Linked DNA regions of Coturnix japonica. The protein of the gene in region 3 interacts with the protein of the main gene of each other region in a pairwise test. Links are inferred from orthologs where the notes say so. Each region holds a gene or a part of one and is shown on either strand. Other genes may lie near its edges.

Region 1 (7,783 bases), on a different chromosome or scaffold from region 3:
ACTGATCAATATCCTGCATAGTTTGCAACTCAAAATGCAAGAACTGATTGGTTTTTCAGTGGTGGTGTGCCAAAGTTCCTCATTTCTACAGTGCTCCATGGAAATGTGATGGGTTGGCTTGCCAAAGCACGTCACTGCTTTCCCCCTGTATGTTAGCCACAATCAGAAATAGGTAACGGGAAGGTCCAGGCCTTATGACACGTTCAGAAATAATATACAGATAATATACTCTGTCTCTTCTTACTACAAGCAGCTACCAATTGTGAATGACAGAAAACAAAGCAACGATTTCAAATCTAGTCAGTATGCTGCCATGGCAAATATAAGCCCTGCATCCACCAGTCCATAAGAATACTGGCTTAAAGGGTTGGTTTGTTTTTCTTTTAATGAGCTACACCTTTCTAGAAAGAACGGCAGGCAATGTGCCCAGCTATTGCCACAGCAGCCACTGACAGAGATGAAGGTTCCTCCCCTCATCTGTGAGGTATTAGCTGCCTCTTCTGTGGGGAGCAGAGAGGACATGCAAGCCTAAATCCAATTGCAGGATCAAGACAGATTATGCAAAAATCCAATAAAAGTATTTTCCCAGAAGGGAGATTCATGCCAAAGAGAATAATGCAGTCTTTAAGATTGCTCAGCAAATAGTGCAGTTTAGGAGAGTTCATGTCACAGCCCGAGTACTGGGCAGGTTACACTTGTCTTCATAATTCTTGGTCTTTCTCATAAAGTAATATGAAAACACCATCTGGGAGATCAGTAAAAACCAATGTGTAACCCTCAAGGCTGCCACCAGAAAGAGGGACATGGCAGTGCAGGCAGGTTTGTGTCAGTTTCTCAGTTCGTACAGCCATTTGTACAGGAAACAGCAGGCAGCATCTCCTGGAAATGAGTGTAGAATCAACGCAGCACCACTTATTGGGCAGAGACAGCTCATGCAGGGCAGGCGCTGTATCACTGCAGGACCCAGGGCCCACAGAAGGCCACTGCGAGAGGACTGTGACACTGGGATTTGTGATGGGATGCTTCATGATGGGCCCCTGGGATCTCTGTTGCTCAGGCCAGCAGTTGGCTTGTAAATTCCTTGTGAGTTTAAAAGAATTCCCTTCCTGTCCAGCTGCTTCGAGGAAAAACTACTGCGATGGTTATTCTTGCTACTCTGGTTCCTTTGTAGGAGGGATGGGGATACAGCTATAGGCTGAATTAGAGGGATAGGATCAAGCTGCTGCAAGATGCGATGCAGAGACCACTCTCAGGAAGCAGCTTCCATGACTTGCTGGCCTTCTGCTGCCCTCACATTGTCCTATCATCAGTCCCAGCACCAAAAGCTCAGCTAGGCAGACCTTCCCAGCAATGGAAGCCATTTGCTAGAGAGGAACCAGAGACACTTCAGAAAACAGTTCATCCTATTTTAAAAACTTTCCATGAGAATTTTGTAGCAGGACAGACATGGGTGTTTCACACATAATCTTTCATTCTCCCTTTGGTAAAGACTAAACGGCCAAACTCCCACCTTGTTAGCACTGTGGAAGTGGTCACACATCTCATCCATCTCCCCAAGGCCAGGTCTCAAAACCTTGTGCTGCCAGTCCCACCGGGCTTCTCCTCTCCATCCCAAGCCATGCCCTTCCTTGCAGGGCACCAGTTCCTCATGGCCTTGTGAATAACAAAGCTCCAGTCTGCAGCAAGCACACGAGGCCACCTCAGGCATCCCATTTCTGGCAGGCAGCCTGCCCATCCCCAGGCACTTGCTGCAGCCAGGCCATGCAGGTCCCTCTGTGCACACAGCTGCCTCACACGTGTGCTGATCCAAACAGGAGAGCCAGATCCACTCCATAGCCTGAGCTAATAGGCAGGATACTCAAGCTGTTCCAACAAAACAGCCTCCAGTGCTTCAGGTTGCTTCGTCTCCAGTCCCTACACTAATGGCCGTTTAGAGACCTCATATTAACGAGTAACAGGATAGCATAAATACATAGACTTTGCACAAGGACAGGCAGAGGATTACAGCTGTGCACCTCAGGCACAGTCTGGTGGGAGCTGCTGCTTTAGTCTGTTCTTCCTGATGCTGCTGAGCTGGGCAGTGATTAGGCACCTGCAGTACGAGCCCATGGGTGCAATATGAAACAAAGGAGGAAACAGCATCCTGCACTGAGCGCTTCAGCGCCTGCCTTTCCTGTGACTAGTGCAGGTATTTACTGACAATGGATTTAGCATCAGGAGCAAATCAAACTCACTGAAGATAAAGCAAAAAGAAGTAAAGCTGAAAAAAAGAACAACAACACACACACACATTAGAAGAAAATTTTAGTTGTATTTTATTTAATTAATGAAAATCTACCTTAAAAACAAAAATCAGATTTGGTAACCCAATACATTGGATTTGAGAAAGCTTCAAGCTTTTAAGCACAAGCCAGAAGTCACAGTCTCAAATGAGAGTTTCAGAGGCCAAAGCAATACACCGGAACAAAGTGGGATCGTTAGGTGGAGCCGTGCTCCTTGCACCGTTAGCGTGGCTTCAGGCGCGATATTTGTCAGCTGTCAGTTACAAGAAGCTTTTGTACTTGTTTTACAGTTATGTTTGTCGCATTGCTTACCTAGGCCCTGGATTAATGGAGAAAACGAGCAAGTTGAAGCACTTGCCTGTCCAATTACTACCAACAGACAATTTACATTGTGATAAAGCTAGCTTTATTTAAATGAGGTTCAGACAAGAATTAACTTTACATATTATTAACAGCTTTGGAGCTACAAACATAAGAACTGGGATTACACAGGTCATGCTACTGTTATTTCGTTTTACCTGCTGCATTTATTGCAATATGGCTTAACGTACATAGGTATACAGTTTGTACAAATTCAGCCAAGTTTGCACTTGTGAGGTGTTATTAAGAGCACGATTAACTTGCAAGCCAATTTAAACCTGTGGAAACCAACAGAGATTGTTGGAATTGCCCAAAGCTAGGGGGAAAAAGCTGCCGCTAACAATGGACAAAGACAGACTGGATTGTTTGAAACCACATTGTTCAGCTTTAAATATTTATATAATTTGCTCTGAGGTAAGGAAAAATCTCTTGATGCTTCCACGCAGGGCAGCACCAGATGGTGCAATCACACCAGTGCAATCAGTCACATTGCTTGCTGTATGTGCAGCCCCGAGGAGAGGCGAGCACCTGCTGTAACAAGAGCATTTGTACACTAAGAGTTGATTTTCAAATAAATTACTATACAGGTAGGATAGTGAGCTATTGTTCGCTTGGTGGCATCGGTTTCACAAAGTGCCATCTGGAACCTTCACTTTCGAAATCAGAGCTGAAAGGATTGACTTGCAGCCCATGTTTGATTCTAATGTAAACAACAAAAGGAAGGACCTACTCCTGCTGGGGATAGGCAATCCCAGTGAGGTTTCTTTCTGTCTTTAGATCACCCTGCTCACCCCAGTTTGCAGCTGTTCTCAGTTCAACCCAGCTTAGGTGAAGGTTGTTAGGAACTCAGTACTACAAGCTTTTCTTCAGCCTTTTGCAATCCAAGGCAGAATTCATTACCAAGCCCTTACCCTCTCTACCCCACCCCCCCCCACCCTCAGGGAATTGGTAAAAGCAACAAGGATCTCAAGAAATGGGGAATGCTGTGATGGGATGGTTCAGCCATGGGTTGGGAAAGGAGGATACTTGTATACAACGTGAATATTATATGATGTTAGTGAAGGTAACATCCTGGGGATAGATGGGGCTGTGATCAGGACTGAGCAGACTCTGCCAAGAGCAGGGTGTGATTCAGGGTTGTGGTACGCCTGGGGCTGCTGTATGAGCAAGACAGCAGGGAAAGGGTAAGCCTAAAGGGTTCTCAGAAACCTGAGAGGACTGCAAGTGGAAGGGACACTGGTCAGCACAGTTGGATCTGGAACAGGTCAGGGCTCTCCTTTTGTCTTTAGAAATATCAGAATTCTACATTAAAATCAGAACTGGGCTTATGATTTACATATAAATATTCAAAGCATGACTGCCAAGTTTTGGAGAGATTTTACAAGGGGATAAACCTGGAACAATAAATATGAAACTATATGTTATTGAATTCCACTCCATCAGTATGAATTTCCTCTCCAGGCTACTCTACAAAATTCCTTTTAGGGTATGCCTAAACAGTACAGAAGTATCAGAGCTCTACATTAAAATCAGAACTGGGATTAAGACATACATATAAATATTCAACACGTTACAGTCCAGTCTCGAAACCTGAAGTCTTGAACAGAAAAAAAAGAGTACTCTCAACCTCCTTTCAAGCTACACTGTAGAAACAAATTCTGACTAAATCAGGCCCGCACAATCGAAGGACAGATAGAGATACCTGAATGGGACTGAAAGGCAGCAATCTTGAGCACCTTGCTCAAAAATCTGTGCGTGATCCAGTTCCTGCTGTTTGACAAACGCACCTTCTATCAGCCATAAGTCTCATGTGTTCTCTTCAGTCAGCTCTCCCCTTCAGCACAGAAGTCGAGCAGCAGCTGTGGCCGCTCGCTGGTCAAATCAAGGCAGCTACGGAAGATGGTGGGAGTAAGGGGGACCGCAGAAAGGAGGTAGGGGTTTTAGGGATGAATGGAGAATTCAAGAGACATGGGACATACAGGACGGAAAAGTTAAGTGAGGGGACGGCAACAACTCTGACACAAATTTTAGTGGTCTGTCCATTCACTCTGATGTGCATCTCCAGTCTAAATGGGACATTTTCAGCAGAGGCAGATGACCTTTGAATGGGACACGTGTGGATATACCCAATATTAAAGGCATTGGTTTTTAATGACAAAAAAGGTGAAGTCTTCAAAAGAGCAGGTGTTAACATCCAAGAATAAAGGGTAGTGAATTAAGCTCCTGGTTCTCTCACAGGATTGTCAGTTGTTCTCTAACACTGGTATCTCTCAGAACGCCACACGGATCCTTAGCACGACTGAAAGAGAAAAGGCAGTAAAAAAAAGCTTTATTAATGACAATTTATCTCAAGAGCATCATAGTATCTTTCTCAAACAATTTTAGAAATGGATTTGAAGACAGTCACGTGGCTTAGTTGAGCAATCACACCAAATACCTGTGTGAGAGACTATAACTGTCACCTTTTCTGATTCAGATTTCACTGAAGTGCAAAGAGCTTTGGGAAAGAAGCACTTCAACTTTACTATGGAAGGCAACAAAAACCTCCTTTAGTTTTTTTTTTACAAAGAGCTGTTAGCATGGAATCACGCTCATGGATTAAATCCTATACAGACTTGTATTGTAGGTGTTTAACCTAGGAAAACTGGAAATCATAATTTTTTACCTCCTAGAAATATCACACTAAACTACAGGCCAAGACAAAGGCCTTTTATGTGAGTATCTGTATGGAAAAAAGCAAGGCGCTAAGTAGCCCAAGAGACAGTAAAGACTGTGTGGGGAATTCTATGGCCAGTTAAAGCAGAGAGCAGTTGTCTTTTCTGAAACCGAGGAGGAAAAAAGAAAAAAAAAAAGAAAAAAAAAAAGAGACAATAATTGCAGAAATCCCAAAATCTACTTTGCGAAGAGTAAGAAATCACTGGCTACGAATACTACTTACATTCAGAGCCTCAGGAGCCAACAAGTTCTGACTTTGTGGACCATCACAATCTGTGTCTTCTTGGCAACCATCGTCCTGCCATGTTTGTGTTTTCCCATCTTCCACTAGTGGGTGACCATCTTCCTCCCTTTCTCCACACGTTTGTTTACCTATATGTTGGTCTGAGATCTCCACAACCTTTCCTATCTCCTTTTCCTTCAGTTTTACTTGGCGTATGTCTAGGATATCTTTGGTTGAATCTTCTGAGGTACTTATCTCTAATGCTGAGTTCTCAACTCTCACTCTATCCCTTGAAATGTCTTCAGGAGTAGTCACAAAGTCAGAATTCTGACTTGGTCCATCTTCCAGTGCCTCAGAAGTTAATAGCACGTCTTTTGCTTTTTCTACAGCTGCATGAATATCTGCAGACTCTGTTAATATAGCATGCTTGCTTAGTCGGGACTGCTGGAGCTCCTGCTCTTTACTTGATACCTCTTCTTCCTTTACTACCTGCATACTTTCCAAAAGTTCAGGTAAAGTCGTGTCTGTCAGGCTTTTCCCTCTGGACTTAGTGTGCTGTTCTGACTCTAAGGCAGCTGTCTCTTCTGTTTCTGTAAGTTTGTTAACAGCAGTCTGGATGGCGTTCAATACAATTTTTGTACTCTGGGACTCTATAGTCCCAGTTGGAACAACATCCGTCTCAGATTCCGCGTGGGAGAGAGTGAGACCATCACTTAAAGGAGCAGTGTTTTGTTTGGGCTGATCCATACTCCAGAAACTCTCTTCCTTCTCTGATATTCCATTAACATAAGCGTGAGTTACCTGAGGCTGGGGTGCTTCCACAGTACCAGGCTCTGCAGTCTCACAGCCTGAATAGTCGGGAGTAGAAGCTGGGACCTCACCAGAAGCCATTTGTTCTGGTGTGGTTGCCAAGGGGTCTACAGTTTTGGCTGTGGGCGTAGCAGCTTCTGCTACAACATGCTCTTCAGCTGCTGCAGCTGCTACAGGCACAGGCACTTCCAGGGACTCTGAGCTTTCAGCTGGTGGAGAGGCCGAGTCACAGCCTTCCTCTTGCACAGAGAAAACCTCTTGCTGGACAGCTGTTGAACAACATTCATCATCCCTCACAGCTTCCTGTTTTCCAGACTGAAATTCTTCGACTGTTTCCATCAACTGCCCATTTATGTTTTCCTCTTTCTGAATGTCTTGACTGTTTGAGATTTCTGCAAGTTCTTGTTTTGTTTCTGCAGTCCTTTCTTCAGCTAAGCTGCTCTGTATTTCGCTTGTCTTAGGACTTACGTCAGTGCAGATGGTGCTTCCATTTTCAGTGACATCTAGGCATGCTGATGCTAAAGTAGATTCGTCTTCTTCAGTCTTGGAAGGGTGCTCAGTGAGAGCATTATCAGACAGTGAGCGTGTTTCAGTTTTGAGCATGGAATCTTCTATTTTACCACTTTCAATTTCATCACTTTGGGAGAGAGCTTCAGTTGTTTTTTCTATGAGTTCTGACTCTAGGACAGGGACAGGATCTTTTGCTGTAATCTGCCTGCCATCCTCATCCCTCACACTCTGCTCAGCAGCCTCAGCTGCTTCTGAGCCAGTTGCCTCTGATGTAAGAGCTGAGGTTTCTACCTCACTGTCCATTGGGACCTCATCAGCAATGACTTCTGAGCTCTTTACTCCAAGGAGCACAGCATCATCTTCCTCTCTCTGTGCAGGTACCTCGCTAGGAACTGCTTTGATACAAGTTTGCTCTTGCAAGTCTAACTCAGGAGTTTCATCCTGACTCTCAGTACTGACAGGGACTTCTGCGACAACCGCTTTTGTGCGCACTGGTCCCACAGGGAGTGTTTCACCCTCTCCTTCAAGTTCTGCAGGCTCTTCTCCTGTAGATCCTAATGCAGAGGTTTCATCTTCAATCTCGTTCTGCACCTGTGGAGAATGGTAACAGTCCTGTAAATAAGGATGTGAGCTGGGGGAGACTGAGAACACTCTGGATGCAAGAGCAGCAGAATATAAGACCACGAGGGGAGTAGGGTTATGGGAAGATTGTGAGTTGAGTATGTTGAGTTTAGTGGGCCACTAAGATCCCAGCATATCCAGTTTGACAGGACATGGCTCAGGAAACAACGGACAGCTGACACATCTGGAACACAGACTAAGCCAGAAAGATGGTGGAAGAAGGCAGAAACAAATCAGTCATAGTAACTCCTGCATGACATGG
Region 2 (7,783 bases), on a different chromosome or scaffold from region 3:
ACAAGGATTTCTGTCTGTACCAATAGTTTGAAAAAATATTTCTTTACATTAAAAGGCTACCAAATTAGTTGTAAGGTGACTGACAAAGCCCTTTAGCTGTTACATTAATATAAAGTACAAATAATAAGAGAAAATAAAAAATGGTGTGAAAAATGATCTGGCCTAATTTGGTTTGTAGTTGGAAAAAGGCATCAATAATACTCAATTATTCTGAAAAAAATATATTCCCCAAATCAAAAAACAAAACCATACCTTTTTCTGGATACTTTTGACCAAAGGGTCTTGTCTGACTGAAGAACGGAACGACCAAGATATTATTTCATCATTATCATTCATCTACATTGCCAATAGTTTGATATGATTGATTCAGTACACAGAGACATGAAACTGTTAATTATGGTCCTTGAAATGTATTGACCATAATATATTGGGCTCACCTATGTATGTCACTATTTTATTGCAGTGCAACATTTTTCTGTCTATACCTATTTTGTTTCTTGTTTATGAAAGATAGAGATTTAGATACATGGATATAAACTTACACAGCACCTAGTATAGACAGATTGTGAGCAACAGACATGTGGAAAGAACTACATTTATATAATTAAATGACTGCAATAACGTATCAAGAATAATTGCCTAATGCATAGCTGTTTCTCTAGTCTTACCTGAAGGAACAAAACTTACCTAAAGGAACAAAAGACTTTGAAGGCATGCTTGGTTTGGAAGTGCCTATTGCGTTAACAGCAAATACACGGACCTCATAAGCAACACCTTCAATCATCTTCTTTGGCTCAAAGGTTGTTTCTTTACACAGTTCAAAATTCAGTCTCATCCACCGTGAGCTTTGTTTCTTTTTCCTTTCAATGAAATATCCTATAGACCAAACAAAATGGTATTATAGTAATAGCATAATGTTCAATAATGAGGTGTCCATGCTTTGACTGACCAATAGTTTTCAATATGGCTCACTATCCCTTTCTAGCTTCAGAGTTCTTTGGGAGTTTCTGTTTAATTTTTCTCCTTGTGGATTAACTGTTAGTCATCTGTTTGTCCTCTCTGGATATTTTTTCCCCCCAAACTTCATTTAATATTTTAATTTAATATTTTTAATTTAACTGTATTTAGTTTAGAGTGAAAAAGACCTGATTCTGCTGGCCTCTGGTCACCTATGACCTTCTACTATATTACATTTGCTTCTGAAATTGCTGCTAACAATCAAACTCTTCAAGTTTTGCCTTTATAAAAAGTTGTTTTCGAGTAGGGAGAATGATAACAGATAAAACTTATGATAACATCAAAGAATGGAAGCAATATTCTTTCAGTAGTCTACTCAAAGTGTCACTCTCCAGTACCAGAGCTGAACTCTGATACTGTGATGCCCATTACGTAGAGTGTGTTTCTTTTGTCTATATTAGATCATCATCAAATGAAAGGAAAATTATTTACCTAAGATGGGTGATCCACCATCATTTGCTGGAGGTTCCCATGTCATAACACACCAGTCTTCACCCACCTCAGTCACGTTTGGTGCCTGAGGAGGATCAGGCACATCTGTTGTAAAACAAACAAACAAACAAACAAAAGTGAAAAAAAAAAAGATCTTTCCTATCTATGCCTAATCTATAATAAAATATATCAAACAAGAAACAAATCTGAAGTCCAATAGGTAACTTAGAATAGAAAATGTAGAGTCAGCCACAAAAATAATCTTGTGTTGAAAAGAAATTGTGAGAATGAATGGAGAACAAGTACATTGGTAAGAATGGATCAGCAGAGGGAGACAAAAACTCATCACTAAAATGTGATTTGAGAAACAACATTCAGAATAGTAAAAGACATAGCTGCTGTGAATATACTTGGCCTTTCTGGACTGAATTCTTCACAGGAAAGATATTCTAACAGCCATTTAGTGTCTTGAGATTTGAGAGCACCTGCTTTGCTAGTCCTTCTGTGATCTTCTATGAGTAATTCAAGTATAGCTTCACAAAGACCCATGGGCACTTAAATGTTTTCTATCATTTTACATGACATTTTACTGATAGATATATTAGTGCAATACTTGATTAAATCTATAACTTTGAGGTAATTGGGAGTAACGCATTAGGGAAATTACAAGTGTTAGAAAGGGCTACAGAAAGGCTGAAAAGGGAGCTACATGACATCGCCAGTAGAAAAATGACATGGGAAAAAGTCATAAACTCGCCTTTAAAGTTCCAAATCATTGTTTTCTGGAATAAATACTGTAATAATGCAGGGGAGTCCTCTGTGTACCTAAAATATATTTGCAGCCCTCATTTGTACCTCACTCTCTTTGGAGAGCGAACTTTGACCATTGATGCTTCCATGGCCTTGCACATTTGGCTCAGAGCATCTCAAGCTCTTCTTTGCACAGAGAAAGGATGTTTTTGTGAATCCTGACAAGTGGGATAGGAAATGCCAAGTTCTTCAACACTGTCAAATTTCTTGAGGGGCACTGAAGGGAATGTGCCAAGAAAGGGCCACAGGCACCAGGAAAATATAGAATGCTTGAAGCAAATAGAGGCAACTTCAGAAGCTTAGGTGCAGCAAGGTGAGGTGGCAGCAGGGGTGATAATTAACTCCTACTTAAATTCCATACTAAGTTACCATATTCTTCATTAACTTTGTGCCTTAGTATCCTTGCATGTCAATTTCACACCTGGAAATGAGGAAAAACAGAGGGATAGCAGCATTTGGAGGAGAGATACAGAAGAAGAATTTGGCTGTTGCTGGAATGCAGGAAAGCAGTGTTCTCAGGGATCATTTATTGAAAAAAACCATGGTAAATGGTATCGCTCATGTGCATTTTTCCACATGACTTACCGACCACTTTAATGTTGATAAGGGCTGTGTCCTCCCCAGCTTCATTCTTTAATGTTATTCTGAAAGGACCTGAATCTTCTCTCTCAGCTGTGTCAATGACCAGGCAGCTGCTGTCTGAGTATGTTTCTGCCCGTATTCTTCCACTGTCTGTGATCATCTAGGAATCAAAGTACGACAAAAGTAAGACAAAGTAAGCAGAGGGAAAAGTCAAGTTTTCTGCTTTAAGAACCAAATGTTCAAAAATCCAAGTTCAAGTGCATTACAGAACACTTCAACAAAAATTTTCTGAAGAGAAATTCACATTAAAGCTCAGTATTTCGGTCATCCGATTGTCATTAAAAAAAAAAAAAGAAAAAAGAAAAAAAAAGAAAAAAAAGACAAACTAAGCAAGTGATAAATAAATAAATGGCTTTAAAATACTGTACCTTTAGTACTCAGGTCAGCCATTACATCTCAAAGGAGGGTTCAGTAGGCTCAATTACCACATAATCAAGAACATGCTTTAATCAGCACTACTTGATGGAAAGAGAGTAGTGAAATCTTAAGAAAGGTTAAATGTAAAATATTTTAAAAAGATTCTTAAATAAAGAATCTTAAATAAAACTGTAGTGTAATTCATTGAGTTGAATGATGAGATGGATAGTAAGGGTCAGTAATTTGTCCTTGTTGTAAAAACACTTACACATTTTTGAATAAGATCTCCTAGGGGAGCTTCTCATTTGAACCAGTCTGTGGTGTTAATAATACCACTGATATTTGGAAAATACTAGTAAGATTTGATGTGATAGGCCTGACAAGTCCAGCAGAAATAACATGTAGCACATACCAAAATGAAAATTTAAATGTGGAAAGTCTGGCTTTTTGGTATAATATACTCGGGAGTGCAAAGTTTAGCACAAAAGACACTATACGCAAAACAGTAACTGCCCAGGCTAATATTTCATCCTAGTCTCGATTCTTCATCAGAACTATTTATTTTATAACCAGACCTTACTATGGCTCCCTGTCAAAACTGCTGTTCTGGACATTACACATACCGTAAGTAGCTGACTGGTAGATTTTCATTAGATTTCTTCTGCATCAAATATATTCACCTACTTTAAAATTTATTTGTAGAAAAAGCATATTTTTCATCTTAGCAGTGTCAAGTGTTTCCTCAAAAAGATCCTTAAAATACTAAACACTATTTATCAGTTTTACCTTCACAGTTGAGGGAGAAGAGTTTTTAAGTGCGACAGGATAACGTATCCCATTTTTATTTCCTTCCATATCTTCACCAGACTAAAGATTGTTTTGTTAAGGGAAAAAAATCTCCTCATTGACCTTTAAAAACAAATATGATGTTACTGTACCTTATCCCCTCTACTCCACATGACTTTTGGTGTTGGCTCGCCAGTGATAGGTATCTCAAGGCGTAATTTAGTTCCTGCCACTACTGTCACAGTGTTATTTTCCCCAAGACCATCAAGGTGAAGTTTAGGAGGATCTGAAAAAGAAAAAATTGCCCAAATTTTTATAGGTCTTCCTCTTCCAAAATTTAGGAACCTGGGAACAAGTGTGAGATACAGAGAAACACGCTCTGCTGCTCATATTTTCCTGGTATTTTTACTCAATATCTGTTTGGAAGTAAAGTAGAGAAGAAAAAATTCTGGAAGAAAATAATCGATGAAGAATGAATCATAGAACCATAGAGATTTGGGAATAGTAGGTCCATAAAAGAAAAACAATCCACCTTCCTGAGGCAGGATTGTTTAAATTTAGATAATGTGAGAGAGATTTCCAATAATTGGCTCTTGAAAATTTCCATTGTAGATGTTCTACATTTGGAATTGTCATGCTCCAAGCATCATTATTCTCTTATTGCCCTAATATTTTAAACTTTTTCTTAGTCTAAATACTTTTCCTGGAAATGAAATGATTACTTCTGTTGTACTCCATGGATATTGAGAACTGATGAATGTGCTCTTACTTTAATATATTTTATCTGTGAAAGTACCCACTCTCTTTTCATTCTCCCTAATTCTTGACAATCTCATTTCTAATGTAAGTATCCCACTCATCATTTACAAGCCATATTTTCTAAAACTTTGATCATTTATATTGGTGTCATTTAGACTTCACATTCACTGCCTGAAGTTAAAAGTCAGTGGGGTACTGTTGTGGAAATCTTATTTAACTCTCTGGGAATCATTAAGCGTAAGTATTGTATAGGCAAATATGTACCTACTGAAATATTTTACTAAGCTAAAAGATATCTTGAAATATAAAAAAATTCCATTCTTCGAAGAATACAACACTGAAGGTCTGAAAAATTATACCAAGAACTACTTTACATGAACTGTTAACAGTAGTTAAAGTTTAGGAATTCAGCCACGCCAGGCTTGTAAACTATGACCAGGTCCTGAGGTAAAGTACTCTCTTACTAGCTCAGTGTCACTTTGCCAAAGTAGCAGCTCTGTGCTTTGAAGTAAGCACCTGCTCAGAAGAAACAAACTGATTGTATTCAAGGATATATCACACAGTTTTCACTTTCCAAGGGTAAAAGAGAAGGAAATGCAATTTGTAATTTGTTGTGCCAAGTACTTACCCACAACATGTACTTTGCATGGAATATTAATATTATAAGCATCTGGTACAAACATGTATTCAGCCTCATCATCAACAGCAGCACTTGCTATGATAAATCTATGGATTCTGTAAAAAAATGAAAAAGAAAGCCATGTAAATTATTTTTGAAGACTAGTTGAGGCTATGAGGAAAAATCTGAAGAAAAAAGTTTAGGAGATCTGTGCAAGTGTGTAAGTCTGTGTGTGCAAAAACAACAGCAACAACAACAACAACAAAAAAACTATCAGAAAATAGTATTGTTTTTAAGTCTAAATATTCTTAATAATGCCCCCAAATTGTTTTGCCCTTACTACCTAATATCCCATACTAACAGCAACAGCAATGTCCAGAAAAAAGAATCTCTTAAAATTAGATGTTTCAAGTATTTTATTATTATTGCCTTCCGCAGCCAGAGGACAGTATGAAAAAGGAAAAGAAGACAAAGGTTTTATTGTCAAAAAACTAACTGTGTTTGAAGGACAAAGTTTAGGCTTTACATATTGATAATACATAGTTTCCAGAGAAATAACCCTCATATTGGTACATCTTTACAATGTCACTTCATCAAAAATCAAATCAGTACTTGACATGCTTACCTTCCTTTGTGATAAAGCTTTACACGGTCACTAGCTTCAATCAATTGTCCATTTTTGTACCATTTCCCTTCCACATTCTCTGATATCTCACATTTCAGGTGTATTTCCTGTCCAAGCCTCACTGTCTGGTCTTCTAGTGCAAGTGATATCTTCAATGGTCTCACTTGGGAAAAGAGAAGTAGATATATTAATGTTAATATCAAGTAACAGCTTATAAGAAATGCTGATCCAAAATATCCATGCCCTGAGCAGGAAAACCTGATCTGTATTCACTTGGAGTATATTTGAACTCTGTCTTGGTGTCACTGGTGTTCCAGTGCAAGATGAATCCAGTAAAAAAACTTTCAAAATGTGGAAGGCTTGTGTCCCTAGGTCTACTCTTAGAGTGCACAGGTCTACCTACCCTTTTCTGCCATCTAACTGCTTACAGAGGTCTCCCACATGAAACAAGACAATTTGGAGACTTAACAAAGTAGTTAATTACAACTATTCACTGTAGTTATGAGCCTCTTGTGTCAGGCTTTTATCAAAGGACATGGTGGACAGTGTAAAGTTATTTCATACATGGCTTCTCCTTGTGTTTGCTAAGCTGCCCTAACTGCCCCTGTAAAAACACAAAGATATTACTAGCTTTTGTTGAACTTGAGGCTGAGAACTTGTGCTTTCTGGAAGATCAGATGCTAGAGACCAGAGTCTAGGCTGAACACACAGCATGTGCACTAAATATACCTGCCTATAATCTGACATGTGAAACAAGGAATGATGGAAAATAACTGCATTTTACAGAAAGATAGCTGGAACATTCTCATCAGAAGAAGCATGAATTTATAAGTGTGGCAGGCAAGATTAGGGAATCCAATGGCTACAGTGTATCATTTTCAGCTTGGTAAGAGAACTGTGAATTGTTTGTGCTTAGGACGTAATTTTGTATAAAATAGTTAAAAGCATAATGTGTGTATGTATGATATATGGTAAGTTCACAGACTGTAACAAATTTACCACAAACACGTACTCAGAATCCATCTTGCTCACCTATGCCAGTAAGACCAAATCTACACCTACTCGCAAAATGGCCATCTGCCTAAAACCAAAGTGGCAGATTATAAAGATGCATAGATTTTGCTGGAAACCACAAGTGTTTTAAAGATATATTCAAGCAGTACTGATACTGTTTGATACTGAGATACATAGCCTCATTTTAGTGCCTTTAGTTTAGTTCAAATGGCTCTGATGCCAGTTAAAAGTACACGTAGTAGTAGACTTTCTTATTTTTTTTCCCACAATTTTCTTTTTTCCCCTCTTTTTATCTAAAAAGTCTTGGTTTTGTCTTTCCTGCGAAAGCCTGAAAGGATTCAATAAAAGCAAGTGCTTCCCCTGCATGTTTCAATTTGTTGACCTGTTATATCTTTTCATGGATAGCTATGTTTTCCATCTTAATGAACAGACAGTAATTTTCAAGCAGGACTAATTCACTTTCTGTAACTGCAAACTGAAGATTTGCTGCTAAGACATTGCCATGGAAGATAAAGTTGTCTTTAGGCCCTCAGAAAAAGGCAAGCAAATTATTACTGTTATTTAGCAAACTATGACCATTAATATCAAGAGCAAGATATATTATACTTACAATCAACAGAAAGCTTGGCTTCTGACTGGCCTCCTGTTGTCATTACGGAGTAAGTTGCGTTGTCATTTTTTGCGGCCTCCTCTATTATCAAAGTGTGTTTTTTACCTTCAAC
Region 3 (8,580 bases):
TGTTATTATTGCCATAGACATAGCAGCAAACATTTACAAACTGATTTAAGAAATGACAATAATCAGATCCCATGTTCCTCTGAGTGCACCGAAGCAGTTACCTTGGAGTCAGCACCGATGGGTTTCTTGCACTCGATGCAGGTGTTGGCACAGATCTTCTCGAAGCACTTGACGCAGCAGTGGCGGCCCTCCTTCTGCACGTACTTCTTGCCTTGCAGCGAGTCGCGGCAGTAGTGGCAGTCAAAGCGCTCCGACATGGTGCCCACGCTGTAACTGCTGGGCCCTGCGGGAGGGATGGGGGTAAACTTACAACACTGAGGTAACTGTTCTGGCTTGACAAGTGATGAAAAAATGGCTCAGCTATGAGCGTGTGGTGGTGTCGTGTGCCTGAAGGGCTTGTTGCTGGAGAAAGCAGCTTCTGGGACAGCAGAAGTTACCTCAGCAGTTCTATCAGCTCAGTGCTTGATAAAACAAGCCAGCTCTCCGCCACCTGCACCAGCACTAGAGCTTTCCATGTGCCTCCAGGATAGGTTAACACACCATTGGGCTCAGGATCTGGGCTGACTCCTGGGGCCACCCAGCTTTCTGGAAGCACCGTGCTTGCAGTTAGCACAAGCAGTGTTTTAGTAACGCAAATATTTTCCTTGGCCTTAATAGCCATCCAAGATATGAATGCTAGATTTCTGCCTACAAAGAGGCAGGATGGGCTCTGGCCAAACACAGAAACGCAGCTCTCAGCCTCCTGGAGAATGACCTGCTGTGTTTGCTTGCCCCATGGCTCAGGGAAGAGCAGGGCCACACGACAGCCTTTCCCTGTCACCTTATTCAGAGGAAGAACACCAGACTGTTTTGGTTCATGTCAAGCAGGGATAATGGTACCTAATCACTCACAATGACTTGGGTCATCATGGTGGACCCGCTGCAGCCCTGGCGAGATCCTGGCTGAGGCACCGCCTAATTTGTGTCCAGAAATCACCGCCAACCAAGAGCGGAGCAGAATAGTTTCCATGCTTCCAGCCCAAGCCTGCAGCCAGCTGCAGCCCTCCAAGGCCTTTTGTGCCAAATACTTGTGCAGCTTCCAGCTGTCTCTGTCACTGGGCTTTCATATACAAAGTCACGAGGAACAAAAAAAAAACCAAGAAAATATCTCCCTACACTTAATGAAATGCAGCAGATCCCTGCCTTTCCACATGCCCTTCCTCAGAGGAAGCCTACAGAGCTCACAGGCCAGGCTCAGCACCCAGATGGAGCCAGGGCACCAAGAAGTTCAGATATTCTTTTCCTGACAGAGCTGAAGCACCAGCATGGACTGAAGGAAGGAAGCGGTCAGGCCGTGTGGGGTAGCTGTCATCCCAGGAATAGCTGCACAGTGCCCATCACTTGCCTGCTGGGTGCTGCGTAGGCAGCCCTACCACTTTATGGCACGAGCACCTGCTTACACAACAGCTACTTGGGCACCTGCCCACCCCAGTAATTCAAGAATTACCATCAACCGCATAACCCAGGCTGCCAGCCATGGAATCACTGCTAAGCCCCTGCTCATCAAACACGAGCATGCATCAGATTGAGCAAGCCCTGACCCAGGCACAACCACACCAACACCAGCCTGAGCTGCAGATCAAGCTGGAGCGTTTCTGCTCCAGAAACCAGGACAGATGATCCCAGGGAGAACAGTGTGGCACACGGAGGCTGCAGCACAGGCAGGGGCCAGGTTCACTCCCTTTCCCTTCCTTAGAACTAAGTGAAGTGGGACAGAGGCCGAGCTGGCCAAGGTTGCGCTCTGTGGGGGCTGGGGCTGGAACTGCTGTTTGGCCAAGGTCAGGAGACGGCCACGTCCTGCTGACAGCCACGCCAAGGGCTGTGTTTGTACTGCTTCAAGGAAGTGAAACAAACAAACAGCTGGGAAACATGGAAACTATGCGAGCCACCTCCAGCCCTGCTGAGCTTCATCAAGCGAGCGGGTTTTATTTAGAAGAAATGCAGTTGCACAGAGTCCAGAGCAAATGGTATCTTAACGTTCTTCATCTCAGGTTTGGGTTTGCTTTCAAGCAGAACATGTAATTGCGAGCATATGGCTCAAGGAGTAACACAACCCTGTGTTCCTGTGTAACACAACACGTGCTGACATGGGAAACATTTATGACAGCAGCTCTGAGCCTCACACACAATTAACACAGGGTCTGGCAGCCCGCAGGAGCTTTTGCCCACCTTGAGCCATCTCACGGCCCAAAAGCTGGACTCAGAAACCAGGCAGTGGTGATGGAAATGGAGGAAAAGCATGGACAGACTTGAACGGTTCTCCAGCCCGGGATGATGTCCCCATGCAGAGGATGCTATGCTGAAGAGGAGCAGATTAGGAGACAAATTGCAAGCATCTGGTGAAGGGCTAAATGCACTACATGCCTATCCCTACACAGCCTGCAGGGCCCTCAATAAAGGGCTCAAGGAAAATCCTGCAGTACTTTAATTCTCTTCCCGTTCTTACCCCAGAGCTCAGACTTCCCAGACAGAAGCATCACCAGTTTCCCAAAAGTTACTCCAGAAACTTTCTCCGCTTCCCTCTCCCACCAGCCCTGGCAGCGCACTGTCTAAATGCAGCTCCCTGATGAATTTGGCTACAGCTAAAGGGCAGATAGCCAAACCAGTGGCCTTCTCAAGTATCAGGGCATTTGGCACAAAGACCCATTGGAATTCAACACTAACATTCACCTGAGCATAGAGGTACAAGTTAACCCAAAGGAGCATCTGCTACTTTTCAAAAGCAGCCCCTCAGCCCTCAGACAGCACTTGGTCTTTCAAAAGTCTCCAATAATTGGGCCCTAGGTCTGCCTACAGCCAGTCGTAAGGGCTATGTCTGTAAGGCATCAGGCTTTGGGATGGAAATGGTGCAGATCTAACAAGTGAAGCAATTGCATTAACACCGACCCTACTCGTCCCTTCAGTTCCCATGGACCCTATGCTGGTTCATCCTGATTCAGTCAAGCTGTATATCACCATCAAGCCCCTACACCATGACATGGCACGGAACAAATTAAATCATAGCACTTTGCAAACAATGCTGAAGCATAGCTGATAAGCAAAGCACTTAGCACAGGGCGTGTGTTAATGTCTCCAGGGAACGTGTTTCAATGTGATAAACCACCAAGGAAGAACTTGAAGTGTGGTCTCTAAAACCAACCAGGGAAACTGTACTTAAACCTTACGGACTTACTGCCTTTACCCTTTCTCCAGGGTAGGAAGGAAGAGGCCAAAGCTGTTGACCCTCTGCTGGGGTGTGGATACACTGTGAAAGAGCAGTTGCCTTTTGGCTCTCCATCAGCTTTGTTTTCCTCATCAGACAGCTCCTGTACCACTGGGCAGTGACAACAACTGCCTGTCTGGGCTCAGGACCTGGCACTTCCTGGTGTGTCACCTGAGTGTCTACTCAGCGTTCTTGCAGGCAGTTTTGTGTATTTTGCTATAAGAACCAGGGAATACCCTCAAAAGAAGGGAACTATTAATCAGAAAGGAAGAGAGGTGCTCAGGTCTGCATCTCAAGGTCACCGGCACAGTGACTGGACAACATCTATTCCTTTCTGTTGGCTTTACATATCCCATGCAGGTCATTTTTGCTGGGAGGGTTGGCAGTAAAGAGCAAAGATCCGTGCTCTCTCGCTGCCAGGCTGGGGCACGTGTGAGTCTCATAGTCTATAATTCAAACATTAGTCTGTTGATAGAAGAGAATCTTCTTTATTTAGAACAAGAACAGCTCCAAGTTCCTCAGGCTGCTGCCAAAATCATCCCCTACGGTCCTATTGCCACCATGTCTGAGCACATCTCTATCATTATTAAATCCTGTCAGTTTCCCAGGGGAGAAGGGACGTGCTATTTAAAAACACACGCACTTCTACACTTAATACGGAGCTCAGCTAAGGCTAACAAAGCTCCTGGCGTACACAGCACCACTGCTCAGAGCAGGGCTGAGCACTTAGGCAGCCTTAGTGTAAGCCTTTCAAAATGACCTAAGTCAGCTAAAGCAAAGTTCTGTTTGGCACCTAACTGTGGCTGTCTTCTCCCCAACTACACCCCATGCCTGGTGTCCCCAGGGACAAGACACGAGGTTTTCTCTCACTGCATGGCTCAAGCCCCTCTGCAGGCATGGCAGAACCCCATGGGAGATGCCCTGGGGATTGGGGCTCCATGCTGGTCCAGAAACAGACACTGACTTAAAACTCAGTGGTGTCAGCACATGCTCAGCACTAGCACTTTGTATCACAGCTTGTGCTGGAAGAGCAGACCCTGCCTGTGGTTCGGGAGATGCTGCCACATCCATCTGCCTGGCAGCAAGGCCAGATAGAGGTTCCTTGTTCAGCCCTGAGGGGTGGGATGTTTCTACACCCTCTGACAGGAGCACAAGACTTCAGGTATCGCTGCTGTCATTGCTTCATCTGCGCAGTGCATCCCAGTTTGCATGCTGGCTATTTCAGCTTGTATTGATTGTCAAGGAGCTAGAGCATGCAGTGCTTTGGTGAGCAACCCTGGTTACTTGTCCAATGAGTTCAGTAAAACAGGAACTGGGACTCAGCTCTGTCTCATCTCAGTGTAGTGCCTGAACCACCAACAAGAGGCACATGCATAATAAAAATAACATCAGTGCTGTGTGTGTGTGTGTTAATTGTGATCAGCGCTTGAAGCACTTGGACTAGAACCACTCCAATGCCAAACAAAGCCTGGGCCCTGCACCAGAGAACATCTACACCAAGGAAGATGACAAAGACATCTGGAAGTACGGACCCAGCCCTCCCACAGCAGCAAACACAAAGCACATCCAAAGCACACTGCAGGTAGACGAAGCCACTGCCACCTGTGCCCCTCGCTGCCCTGCTCCCAGCACTGGTCCCACACACTGCTACCATTAGTCCCATTCACCACCACTAGTCAAAGCTGCAGGTTGCAGAGACGTAAAACCACATTCAAATGAATTATTTCTCTAGAGTCAGACGCCCTTAGCAAAATTTTCTTCCCCATTTACCACACAGAGCATACATGCAGACAGCAGCGTGTCCACGTTACCTGTGTGCCTGTGGAAAGCCATGATTACCAGCCCAAAGTCACAAGCAACAGAGTGCACAGTCTCTTGGCTGATCAGAAGCTCCCCCGTTTGATAACATACATTTAAACGAAGGCTATTAATACGGACAGGACTCCTACCAGATGTCCACTCCCCTCCCCAGAGATCACAACCTTAATCCCCCTTGAAAATTCTTACCATTTTAGGTGATCTGAGGGAGAAGAATAGGATCGAGAGACCTCTGTAGGCAACATGTAAATACCTGCCCTGCTACTCAGCACCCAAATTAGTCCCAAAGGCAGAGAGTGCCTCAGGAACTTGACCCCATGCTAGTACTATTTGGCCTTGGCTTTAGAGCTAGATTGTGTCTCATATCAGTCCTGAGCTAAATAACAGACCTGGCATTAATTCTGACCCCTGTTGCCCAAGGGAAGAGGAGAATCACAGCCCCCAGGGCCAGCAGGGCTGCGGTGGAAGGAATCAGCCCCAGACCACACATAGGGGCTGTCCCCTGGCTGTAGGGCCCAGAGCAGCCATAGGCTGTATCTTTGGGGACACAGCTGAGAGCCTGGGAAGCACCAAAAGGTACATTCATGGGAGCTGGACTTGTCTTCAAGGCAAGCTGAAGTCTTGGTAAAACCACCATGCCTGGGCCTCCTCCAGCTTTTACTCTAAAGCAGCTCAAGGCATTAATCATCCAAAGCAAACAAGTCCCTGAAGTGCAGCACTTAAAAAGCCAGGTTTCATGTTCATGGGGCTTCTCTAGTATCTAACAGCACAGCTGGGCTCCCTCCCCCGTGGGATTACAGAGCCCTGGCTGGTGCCTCTGCCCTCTTTGCCCACATGCCCACGAAGCTCTGTACACAATTTGAACCCACACAACTACTTCCACCTGAGCCATGGCACGGAGCAGAGGGCAGAGGGAGCTCTGCTTCGGGGCTCTCCTGCATGGAGGTATGTGGGCTGAGGCAGCTCCACAGCCCTGTTCTCCAGGTCACGCAGCCAGCAGCACTGTGTGCACTCGGGGCTGCGGCCAGGGCCGCCCAGCTGCTAATCCTGCTTCGACACTGACTCAGTGCACGGCCGTGGGAAAGGCAGTTAACCTCCTGACAGCCAGTGTTTATCATTCACAGGCCAACACAGCGCTGTCTGGCCTTTGAGCAGCCACACAACAGCACATCTCTGCTCCTCACCAAGGATGGCACGAGCTCATCACCATAGTGCATGATGCACAGAGCCTTCAGCCCAGCACTGGGCTGTATGGGTGTCATCAGTACACGTGCAAGGTCAGCATCATCCCAGCATCCTCATGTTTTCAACGTTGCCTGGAAAAATCACACTTGCCAGCATGCCATCCCTGAACAGACCACCATGGACCCACTCATGTAGCAGTTTGAGGCTGGGAAATGTGCTAAAGGACAAGCACACCAAAATCCCTTGGACTAGGAAAAGCCTTACTTTACTCTGCCCCAGCTCACCTATAAGCTCTTGCAAACTGTTTGAATAATTCAGATGGTAACAGGAACCGCAACAACTGCTGTTTTCCTGTGCTAATCTTGCAGTGCACAGTGTAATATTTACAGACATGAGTTCATTTTTGGCAATACATGTCAAGTTAGCACCATTAACCATTCTCAAAGAGCTGACGCATTCCCACATGGCTCTCATTTCTTACTTCCCCCTAGGATACCCTCTGTTTTCAATCACAGAGAACAGCCTTTGCTCCCCATCCTGAACTGCAGCACAGCACTGCCAGGTCCCACCCAGAGGTGGCTGCAGTCCAGCTGCGGTGCAGCAGCATCTCAGGTACTTGGCCATCAAAATGCTTCATGTGCACAAATGAATTTGCAGCAACAACAGGCATGGGCTGGAAGAGGTGGCAGGGAGGAAGCTCAACCAAACAACAGGAGCAGGACGCAGGAATATGATACTGCTGCCCATAAAGTTTCACCATGAGTCTCCATGCAGCAGCATTTTACTGCACAGCTCAGCCTGGCAATTCCCCAAAAGCATTCCATAATAACAAGGACATTTTGCTTGAATTTGTGGCCTCCTGGGCCAGTGCAGCAGGGACAGGCTGGGAACAAGCCTTACTGAGAGGACAGGGCTGCTCTTGTATGTTTTTTGTCTCATTTTAGCCGTATGACCTTGGGTAATTCCCATCTCCCCCCACGGGTCTAATTCATCCCTGCAAGCCCAGCTCCTTCTGAATGCAATTAAACACACCAGTGGCGCAAGGTACAGCACAAGCACCAAGGAGGGACACTGTCTCCCTGTGGATCACGACATGGAACTGAAGCTACCAGGAAAGACAGCACGTCCAAGAGAAAGGAGGGGAGTCCCTACCGACAGCACATCCCACTCCCAAGCACAACGCACAGCCGTATGCAGTATCACCATGAGGCCCCTGCTCCCACCCCATCCATGCCACCACTCTGTGCCAGAGCTGGGCAGAGAGGAAGGAGTGCTGTGAGCACACAGCAGGGCACGCAGGTTTGGGTTTTCATGTCTTTAGCATGAAGTGTGTCCTGTGGGTTTTCAGCACAGCAGGATCTGGACACAGTGATCCCACCGCACAGGTCTGACTGCAGAGCAGCATGGCTGGCACATAGTGTCATCTGCTCGGATAGACAAATGATTCACATTGTGCTTTCCAGAGTATTTTCTTGCCTTAACAATCCTGCCAGAAAAGGTCTGGGCGTCTCAGCTTGCCCACACATCCTGCTGTCACTCAAGAGGCTGTGGGTCCTAAATAGAGCCAGTGGAACCCAGGCATTGATGAACTATTAGTCACCATCATCAAAGAAAGAAGCAGGGAGCAGTAAATACGAGCAGGAAGGGGGCACCTGTCCACTTCTTTGGCTAACACTTCACCTTCTGCTCCTATGGGCTCCTATGCTTTGCAATGCACAGTGAACCTGCACAGAAAAGCACAGCAGTGATTCAGCCACTCCATGTGAAAGCAAAGCAAGAGCCCAGGTTTCCTTCCAGGTGGTGGAAGGACCACGGAGTGGTGTTTGCACTGGGAGGGCTATAAGCAGACAGCCCCACAAAGAGAGGGAACAAGGATGATTTCCTTCCTACTGTGCTGACCTCAAGCCCAGAGACTGGAATCCTACCCACGTGGCTGGGTCCTTCCACCCAGGGGAAGCTTTTAGGATCAACGACGGAGATATGGCACTGTGGAAGTGGGATTAAGCTGATAAGAAGACATGCACAAGGTAGACAGCCCTCCATGAACTCAGATGTAACGTAAGTAGAAACAAAGGGGGGAAAAGAAAGGAGGATAAGAAAAGAGGGAAAAAAATAAGATGTAGTAACAGACAGGAAGGAATGGCACAGTGATAATGGACTGGAAACAGAGGGATCTGAAAAACAGCAGAACTGGGAAGATATAAGCTGGGTTTTTCCCATCTGCCTCCATCCACAGGCTGGACTGGTTCCAGAACTATTCCCATGGCAGCTCCAAGTTTATTTCCCTGCTTCCATCTGCTCTGCAGCTCCCCTCCACACAGCTCCGACTGGCACTT

The links.
Region 1: the proteins of FHL1 (region 3) and AKAP12 interact in binary tests that used the Homo sapiens proteins (3 or more experiments, as listed by UniProt). The link is inferred for Coturnix japonica from reciprocal best matches to the Homo sapiens genes FHL1 and AKAP12.
Region 2: the proteins of FHL1 (region 3) and MYBPC1 interact in a two-hybrid assay, tested with the Homo sapiens proteins (2 studies listed by BioGRID and IntAct). The link is inferred for Coturnix japonica from reciprocal best matches to the Homo sapiens genes FHL1 and MYBPC1.

The regions. Positions count from the first base shown.
Region 1 is NC_029518.1:43,984,220-43,992,002, reverse strand, and holds the end of AKAP12 (A-kinase anchor protein 12), read right to left. Parts: intron 7,492-7,783; coding exon 5,581-7,491; intron 4,942-5,580; coding exon 4,933-4,941; 3' UTR 2,292-4,932; downstream 1-2,291. UniProt on the Homo sapiens protein: Anchoring protein that mediates the subcellular compartmentation of protein kinase A (PKA) and protein kinase C (PKC).
Region 2 is NC_029516.1:56,618,254-56,626,036, reverse strand, and holds part of MYBPC1 (myosin-binding protein C, slow-type), read right to left. Parts: coding exon 7,672-7,783; intron 6,211-7,671; coding exon 6,048-6,210; intron 5,539-6,047; coding exon 5,432-5,538; intron 4,331-5,431; coding exon 4,197-4,330; intron 3,002-4,196; coding exon 2,845-3,001; intron 1,555-2,844; coding exon 1,450-1,554; intron 877-1,449; coding exon 688-876; intron 1-687. UniProt on the Homo sapiens protein: Thick filament-associated protein located in the crossbridge region of vertebrate striated muscle a bands. Slow skeletal protein that binds to both myosin and actin.
Region 3 is NC_029519.1:4,092,605-4,101,184, reverse strand, and holds the start of FHL1 (four and a half LIM domains protein 1), read right to left. Parts: upstream 5,151-8,580; 5' UTR 5,075-5,150; coding exon 5,053-5,074; intron 284-5,052; coding exon 102-283; intron 1-101.